2 linked regions of the Coturnix japonica genome follow. The protein of the gene in region 1 binds, or shares a complex with, the protein of each later gene. Links are inferred from orthologs where the notes say so. Each region holds a gene or a part of one and is shown in the gene's direction. Other genes may lie near its edges.

Evidence for each region. The genes of interacting proteins can lie anywhere in the genome.
Region 2: WDR5 (region 1) and KANSL1 share a complex: the UniProt entries of both Homo sapiens proteins name them as parts of the NSL complex. The link is inferred for Coturnix japonica from reciprocal best matches to the Homo sapiens genes WDR5 and KANSL1.

What each region holds. Positions count from the first base shown.
Region 1 is NC_029532.1:5,720,078-5,728,024, forward strand, and holds part of WDR5 (WD repeat-containing protein 5), read left to right. Parts: intron 1-928; 5' UTR 929-1,042; coding exon 1,043-1,123; intron 1,124-1,746; coding exon 1,747-1,855; intron 1,856-3,087; coding exon 3,088-3,161; intron 3,162-4,066; coding exon 4,067-4,156; intron 4,157-4,816; coding exon 4,817-4,906; intron 4,907-5,263; coding exon 5,264-5,347; intron 5,348-6,397; coding exon 6,398-6,453; intron 6,454-6,571; coding exon 6,572-6,618; intron 6,619-7,420; coding exon 7,421-7,496; intron 7,497-7,947.
Region 2 is NC_029542.1:2,358,035-2,365,981, forward strand, and holds part of KANSL1 (KAT8 regulatory NSL complex subunit 1), read left to right. Parts: intron 1-1,399; coding exon 1,400-1,565; intron 1,566-3,910; coding exon 3,911-4,096; intron 4,097-4,381; coding exon 4,382-4,543; intron 4,544-4,846; coding exon 4,847-4,995; intron 4,996-6,900; coding exon 6,901-7,019; intron 7,020-7,332; coding exon 7,333-7,390; intron 7,391-7,542; coding exon 7,543-7,655; intron 7,656-7,947. UniProt on the Homo sapiens protein: Non-catalytic component of the NSL histone acetyltransferase complex, a multiprotein complex that mediates histone H4 acetylation at 'Lys-5'- and 'Lys-8' (H4K5ac and H4K8ac) at transcription start sites and promotes transcription initiation.

The sequences.
Region 1 (7,947 bases):
GTATGAGGAGGTGCAAGGGGTAAGCTGTGTTGCTTGCTCAAGTTCCCATATAAGTTCAGGTTGAAATGCATTAGATCTGGATTATAGAGCTGGAGTTGCTGGTATTAACAGTAAGTAAGGAGTCTGTACTGTGCTTGTAAAGCTTGCAACTGGTGGCACTGAGCTCTGTGCCCTCCTGAGGACAAGATGTGCATCGTGGCTTGAAAAGTCAATGCTGTTCCTCTTGGATTTGCTGCCACAAGCAAAATGGATTGTGCTTGGGATGGGATATTGCAAATAGCAAAGGATTTGTAAATCCTTACAATGTGAGCTGCGGGTTATTCTGTTACACTGCTGAAATGAAGCTGAACTGCAGCGTGATTGTTCCCTCTGCAGCATCAGCCCTGATTGCAGGGTACAGCACAGCACTGCTCAGGTTTTGCTACAGAAAGCAGATCTGGTGAGGTTAATGCAGGGCTGCTGTTAGGCAGGGGGATCTCTCAAGCAGGGATATGGTGCTCACAGCATTTAGGGGGAAGGTATTAGACCAAAGTACTTGAAATAGGAAATGGAAAAATAAAACAAACCTGGTGTGGTTTTAAGCTTTGGAAATGCCTTATATATAAGGTGTTGTATTTGCTGTGTTGTACAGATGTTTCAAGGAATATAAGATAAACCCACTGCCTCTAAGAGCTACTCTGCTTTATTTGTAGTGATTGGTACAAAACACAGCAAAAAACGCTGTGCAGGAGCTGATCAAAGTCTTGTATTTGGGTTCTTGATAGACCACTAATAGACCTGTAGGCATAAAATGGCATGTTGCTGAGCAGGCGTACAATATGTTTCCTCATCATGTTTTCTGCAGACCTGCAGTTAAGCTGATCTTGTTCCTTTAGCTGCCTCTGATCCTTCTTTGATGGTTAATGTGATTGTTTGCTTTTTCTTCCAGGGTTTTGTTTCTAGCAGCGCTGTTCCTCTCCCCGTGGCAAGGGCTGCCTTGTGAAGCAGCACGTTCATTCTCCCCCTTCAAGCACCGTAGGTCTCATTTGCCGGCTTCAGAACCATGGCAACAGAAGAAAAGAAACCAGATGCAGAATCCACCAAAACACAATCGACTCCTTCCTCCTCAACCAATCAGAGCAAGGTGTGTGTGGGGAGCTCTGAACAATGCCTGCGTAAATGCACATGGTGCATACCTGCACGTGCACCAGGCAAACAGCAATTAGAGAACTGAATCAAGTATGCATTAAGAACTTCTTAATACGTCTGCCTCTGCTGTTGTATGGAGAGGGAAGTGTGCTGAAGGTTGTAGGGGAAAAGCAGGCTGAGTACAGCTTAGTGCTAGGTTGATTATTTGGTTGAAATAGAGTTTTAAGGGGCCTGGGGGAGTTGGCTTGTGGTTGCTTCTGAGCAAGGAATAGAACTACAGGCATTTCATAGTACTATACACAGAGTATAAAACCATCACCAGAGGTTTTATTTTAATCTCAAAACACTCTGTGCTCGAACTGTTGTGTTACTGTCATCTGTTAGTTGCAGGCTTGAAGGGAATTCAGATCAGGATGAGTTTGGTGGCACGTGGCTGTAATGTGCTTCTGGCTCCAGTGGGGGCTTGTTGAATTTGGTGGGGGGAGAGAATGTAAATGGTAGAATCTGTTCAGGTGAATGTATGTATTCATGTGTGCTGATCTCGTCTGATACTGAGCTTGTCACTGAGAAACTAAATTGGGAATTTATTCAACTCATTCATATGTATTTTTCTTCCAGCCTGCACCAGTGAAACCAAATTATGCTCTAAAGTTCACGTTAGCGGGACATACGAAGGCGGTATCATCTGTAAAGTTTAGTCCTAATGGAGAGTGGTTAGCCAGCTCCTGTAAGTATTGCTTTCTTACATCAACAGAATGCAAATACGGGCCTTGTAGAACTACTTGTCTTAACTGACTGGATGGAGAAGGGATAAGTGTCCTTACTGTTCTTAAAAGGAACAATGCCCAAACTGGCAGACTTTGGGATAATCCAAGATCTTTCAGTGTTTTGCTAACTCAGAGTCCTTTCCTGTTTAGTTTTCTTACTGTGCAAGGGGACAAAAGCAAACGGGATTCTTGCCCCATCCTTGTGCTTTTCTGTGGCACTAAAGATGAAGCTTAAGCTTTTAAATTCTGGGTGCGGTACCTGCAGGTAAAACTCAGCTCTGGGAAATGTCAGAGTTAACTTGGCACTGCTGGGCTGGATTGCATTGTGATGTGAAGGACTGCCTGTGTGCTTCTGTTCTCTGTGCCTGTGGTTCTTAGCAAGTCAGAGCCTTAGATTATCCCAATGAAATATGCAGATCATAGTGTTTCGCTGCTCCCTCTTAGTTGGCAGGTTGAGTTCTCCCCTGACAGCTTTGGTGTTTGTCACCAAGAAAACTGCTTGGTAGCTTTCCTTAGTAAATGTCCTTATACTAACCTCAGTGAGGTACTGTATATGAAGAAAGAGCAATTAAAGAACAATATTGAATGTGATGGTGGGAGCCAGTCAAACATCTTCCAGACATGGGAATTACTTCGGTCTTTGGCTTAACTTCACATTGCCTTTATAAGGCCAGTATACCATGTGTAAATCACTTTTATGTTCTGTTATCCTTATGAAAGACCTTTTCCCCCATCCTAAGGTTTTCCAGCCTCTGGCAAATATCAACCTCTTTCTCTGGCCCGTTTTGCAAGTTAAAATGGACAGCATGTTTGGGTTTATGCAGGCATTAATTCATTCCAGGTAGTGATGTAATTTTTGCTCTTTCTGGGCAAAAGAGTTTCAGCATTCCACATGGAACAGTACTGCGTCTACCACTGGCAGGCTTAAACAAAAGTAGAAGCTCAAGTTGTCATCAGAGAAACTAAAGCGACTGGAGACTGCATTCCAGGCAGCTTATGTAATCTCAGTTGCAGCAGTGAGTGTGGTGTGTATGAAACCATTCTTTACCAGTTACATACAGCCTTATACGCTTGTGTGTGCATAGAGAGGGAGGACTACCCACCTTTAGTAGGGGCATGGTTAACATATCCCTGTCCTCCAGCTGTGTCTGTCAGTGCTGCATGTCTCTTAAACTGGCACATTCTTTTCCAGCTGCTGACAAACTTATTAAAATTTGGGGAGCATATGATGGCAAGTTTGAAAAAACGATATCTGGCCATAAACTGGTAAGTATAAGGACTCACTGCGTATGAGTCTTTTCTTGTAATGAATTTATTCTCCCTTCTTTTTCCTCATCTAGTCATTTCCATTCGTGGTTCCTTTGCTGCAGAAGGCTGTATTTGTATCTCCTTGTTTATACAGTCCTGTGCAGTTGTCTGGGGGTGGAATTACTGAGGTGACATCAGGTCAAGCTGGAAATGTGGGTGCGGTGCAGGCTGGTAGTGAAGTACCCGCATGCACACTGGCCTTTTTCTCGAGCCCCTCCATTTCAGCTTCAACACCAGCTTCATACAAGGGGCAATATATTATAGGGTGAAAGTCCTTGTGAACGCCGTGCCCTCTTCTGTCTTTGCCTTGTATCTGGAGCAGAATGGCTTGCCTTGTAAGGAGATTGAATTTTCCTTGTGGCTTTGTCTGTGTAAACACAGCACTTACTCATTCTCCAAAGCTGTAGAGAAAACACAAATCCCCAAACTCTTCCGTTTTGTTTCCCAAAGTTTGCTACGTGCTGAAGTTTCAGAAGCAAAGTTGAAGATTCACCAGATGAAAAACCAGTAGAGTCCTGTTCTCCTCCAACCCTCGGGAGCTCAGGCCAGAAGCAGTGAGCCATTTGTCATGATGAGAAACCACTCATTCCGATTAGTTTATGTAATATACTGTTTGTGGATTCAATGAAAGGGTGTTGGTGGCCACAGTAAGAGCTATGTGAGGAAGCTGCTGGTGTTTTTGGAGTGCACGGCCCAACTTAAAATGAAGAACTGTCAAAGGAGCTGTAACCCGGTCACGTTAATTAATTTGCATCTCCCAGTGCTGAATCTTTCACACTTCAGCTGTGAACATGGAGTCTGTTTCCCATTTTCCCATGTCAGTAAGTAAACGGAGCTAAGAGGATTGGTTTCTTTTGTTTTAGGGGATCTCTGATGTTGCTTGGTCATCAGATTCCAACCTTCTTGTCTCTGCCTCCGATGATAAAACTCTCAAGATATGGGATGTAAGCTCGGTAAGAACAGAAATTGTTATTTGCCTTCCTTTTCCTTAGAATTGCTACCTTAAATCAAGTTCTTCTGCGAGACGAGCTTGACATGCTATGATTGGAGAAGACAGAGTTATAAACACTGATCCTCTTTAGGTAGTAGCTCCCAGTTTGCTGCTTAAAACGAGCAGCTGGCTGAATGGGCAGTGAGGATGGGAGAGTTGTGCTGCATTCTTTTGGAAAGAGGGCAGTGCTTATGGGTACCACGAGGACTCTGATTATCTTCTGGGAGTGTTTCAGTCTTACACTAACAATACAGGCTCAAGTTTAATTTCTGTAAGCAGCCTCTCAGATGGAACCTAAGAGTATTTATAACTTCTCATCATAGGCTCATTTCTCTTTGCTTATTTTTCTGCCTTCTTTTTTCTGCAGTTACAGTGAAAACTGGATAAATTGGTTTAAATTTGACGAGATGTGTTAAACTGTTGGGTTTTCCCTGATTGCCCAAAGGCTTTGAAAACTGGTCCCTGAAAAAGTCTTCCCTTTGTTTTTCTTCAGCTGTTCCTCTGCCTATCTAAGTCTATGGTTAGAGATGGTTTCTTTCCATTCTGCACTATGCAGCTTGTCTGATTGCAGTATCCTCTATAGCCATACATGCATATTTAAATCTGCTAAATCTTATTTCAGGGTAAGTGCTTGAAGACATTGAAGGGGCACAGTAACTACGTTTTCTGCTGCAACTTCAACCCTCAATCAAACCTCATCGTTTCTGGATCAGTAAGTGATTTTTGTTCTTCTGTGCAAAGCAATTGCTGCACATCCCTTATTTCAATGATGTCTTCCTCCATAAATGCAGCTTGTAATTAGGTGAGCTATGCAGTGTTATTGCTGTCTTGGGGATGCAGTCGGGCCTTTAACCCATCCTTAACATGCAGTTTTCTTTGTGTGTAGAGAAAGAGAGAACTGTATTTGCAGTCTGTTATTGCCACCCTGTGCAGTGCTTATATCTTAGCCTTTCTGATGCAGCTGCAGTACAACTGGAGGAAGGCGTGTGTGTCTAGACTTGCACCAAGCTGTAATGTCTTCCAGGTTACAAATAACTGTATCATAAAATGATGTTCTGTGTTTCTTCAGTTCGACGAAAGCGTGAGGATATGGGATGTGAAAACAGGGAAGTGCCTCAAGACGTTGCCTGCTCATTCTGACCCAGTTTCAGCTGTAAGTCCTTTCTGATAAATTAACGTGCTAACGTGCTTATGCTCTTTATTATGATACCTTTATAAAATGGGCTGTCGTTTGTGGATGGTCATTGCTGGGTGAGAGCAAAATTAAGATCCTTATCCGTAAGGCCTGTGTGGTTTTGTGTCTTGAGTCTCTGCATGGGGAGCAGTGAATAGTGATGTGCTGGTTGTGTTAGAGCCTGGCAGTCTGATGCTGGGATATGGACTGATGATCCCTTTGAGGAATGGAGAGCAACCTGGACCTGCTGTACATCTGTTGCTTTCTTGTTCCAAGCAATTGCTGAGGTCTGGAGCTGGATGGTTTCAGAGCACACTCCAGTCTTGTTAATTCATCTTGTGAAAATGGCTTGGATTGCAATCATATCCCTTCAAATGAAGGATTAGAAGGTGTTCAACTCTTAATATTTTTGAAATGGAGGAAACACTGAAAGAATATTCAGCCTCAGTTGTGTTAAACGATACCTGCTTTAATGTGATTGGTCTGGTTGTTCTATTTTACCTAGGAGACGTTTCATACTTATAATGCACATTAGTAGTAATTATTGCTTTAAATTGCAGCATTTTCAGGTGTATTTGAAGGCAATAAGTAGACCTCAGAATATGTGAGGCTATATATGGGGTGAAGTTCCATGTCCTTAAAATCTTAAGGTGTTATCCCCAGGTTAGACACTACTATAAACTGAGCAGCTAATGGTGTCTGAGCGGAGTATCTGTGTGTTCGTGTTAAGGTACTGCTCTTAGCTTCTGAGGAAACAGACATGTCAGTTCCTGATGCTTGAATGTACAGCTGTAGCTACCAGCCATTTCCATTTATGCCAGGTGAACTCAGTGCAGGGGGGAAGAATTTTGTTCTGATCCTATTGCCCATCTAAATTCACATCTACTGTTTGAATATCATTGACTTTCTGCTTTTATCCATATGAACTGCAATGTCAGCATCGGGAGGTGAATACTCTTGGTGGGGCGTAAAAATTTGATGCTTGTGAACAAAGTAAAGTTATTTTCCCCCTCTTTTATAATATTACAGGTGCATTTTAATCGTGATGGATCCCTGATAGTGTCAAGTAGTTATGATGGACTCTGGTAAGTGGTTGTTTCTTGTCTGCTTCAGTGTTCAAATCTATTGCACTTTGACGAAAGATTAATGATACTAATAATAAAGCTTATAGTGGTAGTAATGAGTCCCATATGTTTTTTATAGTCGAATCTGGGATACAGCATCAGGACAGTGCTTGAAAACACTCATTGGTAAGTAGGAATGCTTCTTGTTTGTGCTTCATTCTTTGTTGTCCAGCTGTGATACAGACATACTGCATCATCACAGTGAGCATTGACTTCCTTAACCTCTATTTTTCTGTTTCAATGCTGTTCCATTAGCACACTGTTGTCTTTGTAGCTATGACAGTTAATAGGAGCTATCCTCTTGCATATATGGGATCTTGCTTAACCTTGGAGTGTTCTGTAAGTCTAGATGCTGGATGAAAGACTTCCAAAGTTTTCTATCATTCAGTTCTGTAATGATTGCTGTGCAGCGGCTCAGAACTGTAACAACAAAAGTGTTTGTGCTGCTGGATATGATGGAAACAGTCTGTGACTGAACAAGCTGCCTGCTTTTATTGCTGATGACATAAGGCATCTTGTGAGCAAAGCTAATATAAGGAAACCACCTATAAGGCATATGTTCCCAGTCTTTCATATTCTTATGAAGTTTTTTATAAGTGCTTTATAAAGCTGACATGGCACTGCAGATTGGTGATAGATGTATACTCTGTGTTTAAAAAAACACTTTATTACAGATATGTTTTAGATGGAAGGAATGAAAAGGTCATTTAAAATGCCTGTGAGCAAAATGTTTAATATCCTTTTATTGAAATACTGGAAACAGTCACCTTCTCACACCTGTATTGCTTGAATAACCAAAGGATAACAAAACTGAAAGCTTTAAACAACAGATTACTGTCAAAAGAAATTCTTGGGCAATGAGACAATAATACTGTTCAACAATCACTTTAATAGGAACTATTTAACAATCACTTTATCTTCATTTCAGATGATGATAACCCTCCCGTGTCTTTTGTGAAGTTCTCCCCGAATGGCAAATACATTCTTGCTGCAACTTTGGACAAGTAGGTATTATAAAATAAATAGAAACCCACCATCTTTGAAGTGTTAATAAATATCAGATGAAACTTTAGTTTGCTGCTCGTTGCCTGTCATGATAATGACCCTACACAGGTGCATACATACTGCCATATTATATCCAAATAAAATTCAGTAGCTTGCTTATTCTCTTTCTATGATCTAGCTTATGTTTGAGCTGTCTTCAGAGGGTTTCAATCCTTTGTTTACTTGCCTGATGGATCCCAGTGCAAGACATAAAAGTTAAGAGCTGGGGGTAATGATTGTATTGGATGGGTATAATTGTAGGGCTGTCCCTATTTCCAGATGGGTTTCTCTTCCTGTGAAAGAATGCAGCCTCCATAAAGGGGGAAATTACGAATGGCATGTTGGTAACAACTGATACTTTGGGGTTTAACTAAAGCTGCATTCCAAAGCTGGGCTAAAGTGCCCCTTGTA
Region 2 (7,947 bases), on another chromosome or scaffold:
AAAGACATCTCCGCTCTTTGGGAGTGTTTGTGGTTACAGAGAGGGGAGGAAGAGCAGCCCAGGGGCTGTGGGAGAAGTAAAGGAGAAATGAAGAAGCTTTTGGTTTGCTGCAGGTTTCTGTTAGCTGTCATCAGTACTGGATTCTGACAGAGGGGAGGGTTCTTTTCATAACCCACCCATCCTAAGGTAAGCTTCAGGACAGGGGGTTCAGCCTGCTAAAATGGGAGCAGCTGAGTGAAGCAGGTATGGGAAACACAGATACTGAATACAGGAATTAACACAGACCCATTATTAATACATTATTTTCTGCTCCTCCCCACCGTCCCTTTCCCACATGCAGAATTCAGCTCTGTTTATTCCCTGAGCATCCTATGTGAGGACAAACCATGCTCCATCCTTCTTAACTTCCTTCAGGAGTGCCACGAGCTGTCAGTTGGAGAACAGATGCTTCGAAATAGAATAAGGACGGGGTTTTGTTTTTTTCTTAGGATTGCAGAACTATGGATGGCACAAATCCACTTAGTTGTGTTTGAGTCACAAGTGTTTCAAGTCAAACTTAATTACCACAAAGTTTCAGGGTTTCTCGCTCTGTGGGGGATAGGGTTTAAAGGAGCTCAGAAAGAAACATTCTGCTGAGCAAAACAGATTCTGGGCCAGCTGAGTTGGCTGAAAAGTGGGAATAATCAGTTCGCTGGGGGTATTTCTGTGCTTTTACCCTCATTGAGCAGGATTTGGTTCATTTTCCATCACTTCTCTCATTCCAGCTCTCTCCTCCAAGCTGCTTGCAGCCCTTCCCAGTTGTACTGTTATTTGCTAAGGCTTAAGGATATTATCTCTTCCATCATTCGAGTCATTAGTGGAAATTATCTGAATAATACCAGACTCAACAGACTTCACAGGATCTGATTCGATGGATCCTTCCATTTCAGTGGGGGGTTCATCGGTTGCTGGCTCTGCCTGTTTTACATCCAGTTGTGCATCTGCACCACGATGGTTTTTTATACAGAGGAGGTTTATATAAAGTCTGTGAACTGAAAGTCCCTCCTGGTTTAGAGACCAAGACTGAAAACCTTCTCACTCGCTGTAGGTGTCAGCTCTTGGCTGGTGGTTCCCTGTCTTGTCTGAACTAGAAGGTGTTTTTCCTCCCTGACAACAGAATTGTGCTGTCTCATGGTTTTGTAAATGAGGTTTTCAACCCAGATAAACACTTTTAATCAAGTCTAGGGGATGCTGTGTGCAGGCAAGCAGTCGTTCTCGGCTGTGTTGATGTAAGGTCCAGACTGAATCAACAGGTTTGCTGCAGGGTGTTATAAGATCAGGGTTTATTTGATGATCTATCAAAGGGCAGCATGCAAAGAGAGCCCTGTGGGATGCTGAACTTCTCTGTGGCCTTCTCCAGGTCCACCGGAACAGCCTGGCACGGTGCAGCTGTGATGTGAACCCCTCGTGTGCTCTGTGTGGTGCCCGCAGCTCCGCGGCGCTGGAGATGCAGTACGATGCGCCGCTGCTGGAGCGCCTCTCGCAGCTGGACTCCTGCATCCATCCCGTTCTGTCCTTCCCTGATGGTGAGCACAGCAAAGCAGGGCTGTGGGGAGGGGGTTGGGGGGTCGGGCTGGGTGCTGACATGGGACACCAGGGAGTGTCTGGGGCTTGAGGAGCTGTGCAGCCTTCACCCTGAGGAGGTGCTGGTGTGATGGATGCAATTAAAACCATGCTCTTCATCTGCACGTGCTTTTAGGAGCTGAGCATTTGCTGCAGCAGAAGAGAGAGTGTTGGCTGGGGCCTGAGAGTCTGTGCTGGGTCCTGTGCTGGTGTCATAAATAGCATAATCTGAGTTGGACGGGACCATAAGGATCCTTGCATCCAACTCCATCACCATCCAAACATCAGAGCATGGTGACTGGTGGTCACAGACCTCAGCAGAGCTTATTTACCTGCATGAAACCACTTGTGGATTGGTGGAAGCTGCAGGATGTTTCTTTGACCTTGTATGGAGTTGTCCACGATCTCGAGTGGGTCAGAGGGTACAGGAGGAAGGGACGTTCCCATTAGGCTGCTGCTGCTCTGACTAAAACCTATTGGCTGCATGTACTGCTCTCCACCCATCATCGTTTCCCTCTGACCACAGCGAGGTGCAGATGATCTGAGTGGGCACTCTTGCAGGAGAGCTGAGCTGTCAGCAGGCCAGGGCAGAGGTCTCCCAGTGGAAGGGGATGGCTCCTGGGGGGAAGGTGATGTTCTGCTGCTCGTGCTTGGGTCGGGTCAAAGCCTTGTGCTCACAGATGTAAATCCAGCTCTGCACAGACTTGGTGCAGCAGCGTGGAGTGCACGGCGGAGCTTTAACATCTTCTGAAGTTCTCTGTCCCTTCTCTCTTCTCCTTTTTCTGCTCGGTGTGATTTGTAGCTGGGAGTTTGGGGATGATGTAATAACCTTGGTGGAAGGATGTGAGCCGTGCTGAGCTCGGCGCGGTTGCCATCTGCCGGTCCTTGGATGCTCTGCACCGTGGCTGTGACCATCACAAGGGCAGCACAGTTTGTTTGCCTTTTGTCTTTGTGTTTCTGCCTCCTTTCAGCCTGGCCCATCCTTCCCCAGATGTGTCAGCTGCTGACGGTGGAATGTATTTCCAGGAAGAGGCAGGAGATGAGCAAAGAGCGGAGGCTGTTTTCCCCTCAGGGCCCTCTCTGAGCCCTCCCTCCCCTTTGGGATCAGTCTGTGCAGGCTGTCAGTGGTTGAACAACTGCTCTCACACTTTGCTGCCCACATGGATGGGGCTCAGTGAGAGCTTTAGCACCAGGGTCTTCTAAACACGGCTGCTCTGGCTTCTTGCTCAGCATCAAGTTCCCCTGACAGTGACTGCAGCCTGCAGCCCTGTTTGCCCGTCCTGGGGCTTTCCAGCCTCTGGAATGACTGGGGATGGATTCCCATCTCAGCTGCCAAGGCTGCCAGCAGGGCTGCCATCCCTTCCTGCTGCCCTCTGAGGTCATCTGCAGTTCCCAGATGCTGCAGCAGCTCCGAGTTGCAGTGCTGGCCCCTCTGCAGGGCTGCTGGGCACCTCAGCTCCTCGTGTGGGCTCTGGGAAGGTTCCTCTAAGCTCAGGGTCGCTTTGGAGTCCCTGCAAAAACATGGTGTGAGATCTGGGGGAGGAACGGTGCTGCTGGGGGAGTTTGTTGGTCCAGCTGATGGTTTTTAGAGCCGACCCCATAGCGTGGCCTGTCTGCACAAGGAAGGCACCGAATAACCCCATTAGTGTTCCAGCCTTCAGCTGAGGTCAGGAGAGCACGTCTGTGTGGGACTGGGATGCAATGGAGCTTGAGGAGTGTGGACAAGAGGAGCGTGTGCCCCACTGCAGTGCACGGCGTGGTCTGAAAAGGCAGCACAGGCCGGGCTGAGTGCTCTGGGTGCAGCTGTGAGCACCCTGGGGGGCTGCTGCTTCCATGGGCCCTGCAGTGTGCTCATTTGGAGCACCCTTGGTTCCATGGCAGATGCCCTGCCATGCAGATGAACTTCACACCGTACCTGTTTGGCTTCTGGCCTGACCCGAAGTGGAGGAGTTAAGCTGAACTTCTCTCTTCCAGTCTGTATTCCTGTAGGTTTGATGAGCTGAGATATCCCAGAGCCCTGGAAGTCAGATCACAGATAGCAGAATGGAGCCACGTGCCTTTTATTCTCCTGCCAGGATATACCTGGGTGTGAATCCTGTATTACTGTGCTGCTCTCAAAGAGCTTCAGGTTGGGAATGCTGGATCCTCACGTAGCAGCTCCTCCTTGAATACACAGGCAAATGTGGCTGTGCAGTGATGACCCTCTGTGTGTTGGGGCAGTTCTTGCTGGGGACTGGGAGGTGATGCTGGACCCGCTGCTTCCTGGTACACACTTAATGTGAACTCTGCATTTGCTTTCCCTCCGCAGACGTGCCGACCAGCCTGCACTTCCAGAGCATGTTGAAATCCCAGTGGCAGAACAAACCCTACGAGAAAATGAAAGCTCCCAAAAAGCTCTCGTTCAAGCACAGAGCCCCCATGCCCACCAGCAGCCTGACCGACCCCGCTCGCAAGGACCGCCACAAGCTGGTGAACTCCTTCTTCACCGCAGCCAGTAAGTGCCCCCCTGCTGTTGGTAACCCCAAAGCAGTGCGGTCCGGGAGGAGAGAGGAGGATGGATAGCATTCAAACGGAGCCTTTGGGGCTGAAGGGGCCGTGTGTGCAGCTGCTCCTGGCTGTAGGGACCCTCCTTGCCCAACACCAGGCCGTGCCCATGCAGAGCTCTGCCCGCTGCATGACGCCATTGAGCCGCAGCATCGCAGCAGTGATGCATCCCATGCCCGCAGAAAGAGAGGTGAAAACAGGAGTTTCATGGCTCTTTCTCTGTTCCCCTCCTCAGAGCGCTCACAGCACAAAGCCCAGGCAGACAAGGCGCACAGGCCGCCCTTAGACGATTTTATGGCCGTGTCCAAGGCCGAGAGAGCGCCTGAGCGCTCGCTTGTCCAGCCTCCCGCCCATGACAAAAAGCGATTACGCGACTGCTCATCTGAGAGGAGTGAAGGTAGGCTGCCAGGCCAGGGCGCTCGGGGGGAGCTTGGGCTTTGCTGCTCATCAGCCTGTCTCCCCTTGGAGCAGAGGGATCGCACTGCTTCTGGGCCTCCTCACCGCACCGTGCGCCCCGACTGCTGCTCCCTGCAGCCCCTGACGAGCTGTTTGCAGTCACAAATCGCTTCTCTTTCCTGCAGGGCTCACCTCAGCATTGGCCATTTCTGGCACAGATGGTCCTTTTCTCCTTCCTACCCCCCCAGCCTTATTTTATTTGGTGCTAACGTGGCTCTTTGTTTTCTCCTCCCTCCCCATGCAGTGCTGAAGCATCACGCGGACGTCGGTGGCCCGAGCTACTTGGCAGCGGCTGCGACCCATGCACCTCACAGCCCCATAGCACGGCAGCTGTCCACCTCCTCGGAGGGCTCTGCTCCCACCAGCACGAGCTCCCAGGGCACCTCCGGCACCGTAAGTATTGCTGTCTGTGTGGGGAGCTGCTGAGCTCGGCTCTCAGCTTCCCAGCATCTTTACCTCGCTGGTGATGGGATTGTGTTGGCTCTCCTCCTGCTTTGGCTTTGGGTCTGCTGTGCTCCTGGCTGTGCACGGAGCCGGCTGCAGTGACAGGTTCACTGTCAGTTCAGTAAGTGCTGGTGAATGTTCCCGTTCCCAGTAGCCCACTGGCTTTGCTCCATGTCCGGATTCTGGTTACTGAAGATGTCAGGGGATGCCAGGAAACGGAGTGGAAGAGCTGAGCACCAGCAGCACAAAGCTGCTGACACAACAACAGCTCCTGCTCTGGGTTCTTCCCCTTTCTGGCCTTTTCTCTGTGTGTTGGGCTGTAAATTGGGCTGAGGATGGGACTTAGCTGTCGTTATAACTGGGGTTGGCTCATAGTGTGTGCCCAGACATGCTCAGCCTCCCAGAACAGATGACAGCATTTGGAACCTTTGTGGAGCTGTTTCTGGAAGCCATCAGCAAGCAGGACCCAGCTCCCTCCCGCTCTGTTCAGCTCTGAGGTGTCCTAGGAAAGCTCCTGGTCTCTGTGTGGTGCAGCCCCTGCTGGGGATCCAGGCTTTGGGGGCTCAGAGCTCACTGTGTGCCTCTGTCCTTGCTCTGAGCTCTGGGGCTGCCACCTCCAGCCGGGTTCTTTCCCAGAACAGTTTGCTGTTGCGTCATCAGCTGTTGTCAGTGAGGTGGGTTGTAATGCTCAGGGGAGGCTGAGACTCCAACCAGCAGCAGCAGCTTCCCTGGAATGAGCCGAGTGTTTTGGAGACCAGGACGCTCCTCAGCAGCCATAGCATGTCAAGATGAAATCTGTTCGTGCTTCCCTGCACTTGATCTTCCTTCCTGCTCCTTTTGCCACCCTTCCCTGAGCCCATTCACAATTAACAGGGTTACAACATGGTGCTGGTTTCCAGCACCCGGCTTCAACCAGCCCCAGAAGCCGCCTGTGCTGCTCCAGCAGCCCTGAGGTGTGGGCGTTGTGCAGGGCAGGACAAGGTTTGGGTCTGGTTTTGGTGGTTGTGCAGCACCTCCCAACGTGCACAACTTTGCTGCAGAATCAGCAGCATTGCACTTGTTCCTTCGGGGAGCTGCTTTGAGCTGGGAGGTGTGTGTGCATGACAGGAGCTGCAGCTTCCTGCACTGTGACTTGTTGTGCTTTTGCAGTTTTACCTCTGGTTGCCCAGCAGGTTTTGCTTCAGAAATGATGGTCCCTGTCGTGTGCTGCCACTTCTACCAAAGCCCATACAAATGGCAATGGGGAAGCTGAGCAGCATCCCTTCACTTAGTGCAGGTTGAGCTCAGGTTGTAATGCAGGAACACGGCTGCTCTGGGACATAAAAGCACGAGAAGGGGAGAAGCCCTGCAGGAGCTTCTTACTGTCAGCTTCACTCATTGGGATGGCAGTGCTCAGAGCCTGGAGCATCCCATGGCTGTGCTGCAGTGCTGCTCAGGGGAGGTTTGGGGACAGAGAGAGAGCACCCAGCATCCAACCCAAGTGGATAAGCTGAGTGTGCAGCTTATTTCTAGCTTGGAAACCCGGCTGAAAGAAGCTGCAGGTGGAAGCCATCAGGTTGTAGAGCAGCTGCCACAAGCCAGGATGAGCTACTGATCCCAGCCCTGTGCTGATCCCATTGGAGCTGTGCTCCATGCCTGCACTTCTTAGTGCTCATGGTCCCACTGCCACTTCACAGCAGGGAACTGGGCTCTGTGTGGCTCTTCTCTCCCCTTTCATGGCTGTTCCCATGGGGAGGCCTTGCAGCAGGCAGCACAACTCAGTTCCAGCACAGATCTCTGTTGGTCCTTTCTCATTGCCTCACCATAGCAAAGCCTCCGAGCCTTCCTCATGTTGTTCTCATCTTTCCATTGCAGCAGCCGAGGAGGAGGAGAGGGGAAAGCTCATTTGATATTAACAACATTGTCATCCCGATGTCTGTCGCTGCCACAACTCGTGTCGAGAAGCTGCAGTACAAGGAGATCCTGACGCCCAGGTCTGTGCCCATCAGCTCAGCTCAGGACTCTGCTCCGGGGGCTGCTGGGGAGGAGTTGGGCTTTGCCTCCCCTGGGAGAGCAGCTCTGGGAGCCCTCACACAGACATAGGGATTGTGTTGTCTCAGTGCCTGAAAGCAGCTGCTCCACGTGGGGCTGGAGTGAGAAACTGCTCTGCTGGCACCATGGGGGGGTTGTGGGGACAGATGTGCAGCTGAACTGAACGCCCACCTGCAGGTGCTGCTTGTTGTGATTTCCTCAATCAATGGGGCTGTGCTGTGGCTGGCTGCACCCTGACCTTGTGTTTGTTTGCAGCTGGCGTGAGGTGGACATCGGCGCCCTGAAAGTCAGCCCCGATGAAGACAACGAGGAGGTGAGAGCTGCCCTGTGTCCCAATGGGGTGACGCTGGGTTCGGTGGCACTTGGGGTGCTCTGGCCATCACCAATTGATGTTACTGCACACGGATGTGCATCCAACATGAACAGCCCCAGACTGAGCCCTGTGCCATCCCATCTCTCCCACAGATCGAGGACTTGTCTGATTCAGCCTTTGCTGCTCGGCACAGCAAGTGTGAAGAGATGGAGCGAGCCCGGTGGCTTTGGAGCACGAGTGTGCCCCCGCAGCGGCGGGGCAGCAGGTACAGCAGCACAGCTCTGCTTCTGTTCCATTACACGCCTGTCCTGCCCTTCCAACCATCACTCAGCACTGCTGCAGTGTCTTCTCTCAGCTCTGCTCACCTGACAGAGCTGGAGGATGAGATTCTCTTTTCCATTTGCTTTCTGATGCTTTGGTTTGGAACTGCTCTGCTCTTGCTGGTGGACTGCAGCTGCATGCAGCCATGTCAGTGCAGCTGGGGTTGCATTGCAGCTGCATGCAGCCGTGCAGCAGCCTTCTCAGTGCAGCTGTGCTTGCAGCAGGGTGGCTCTGTG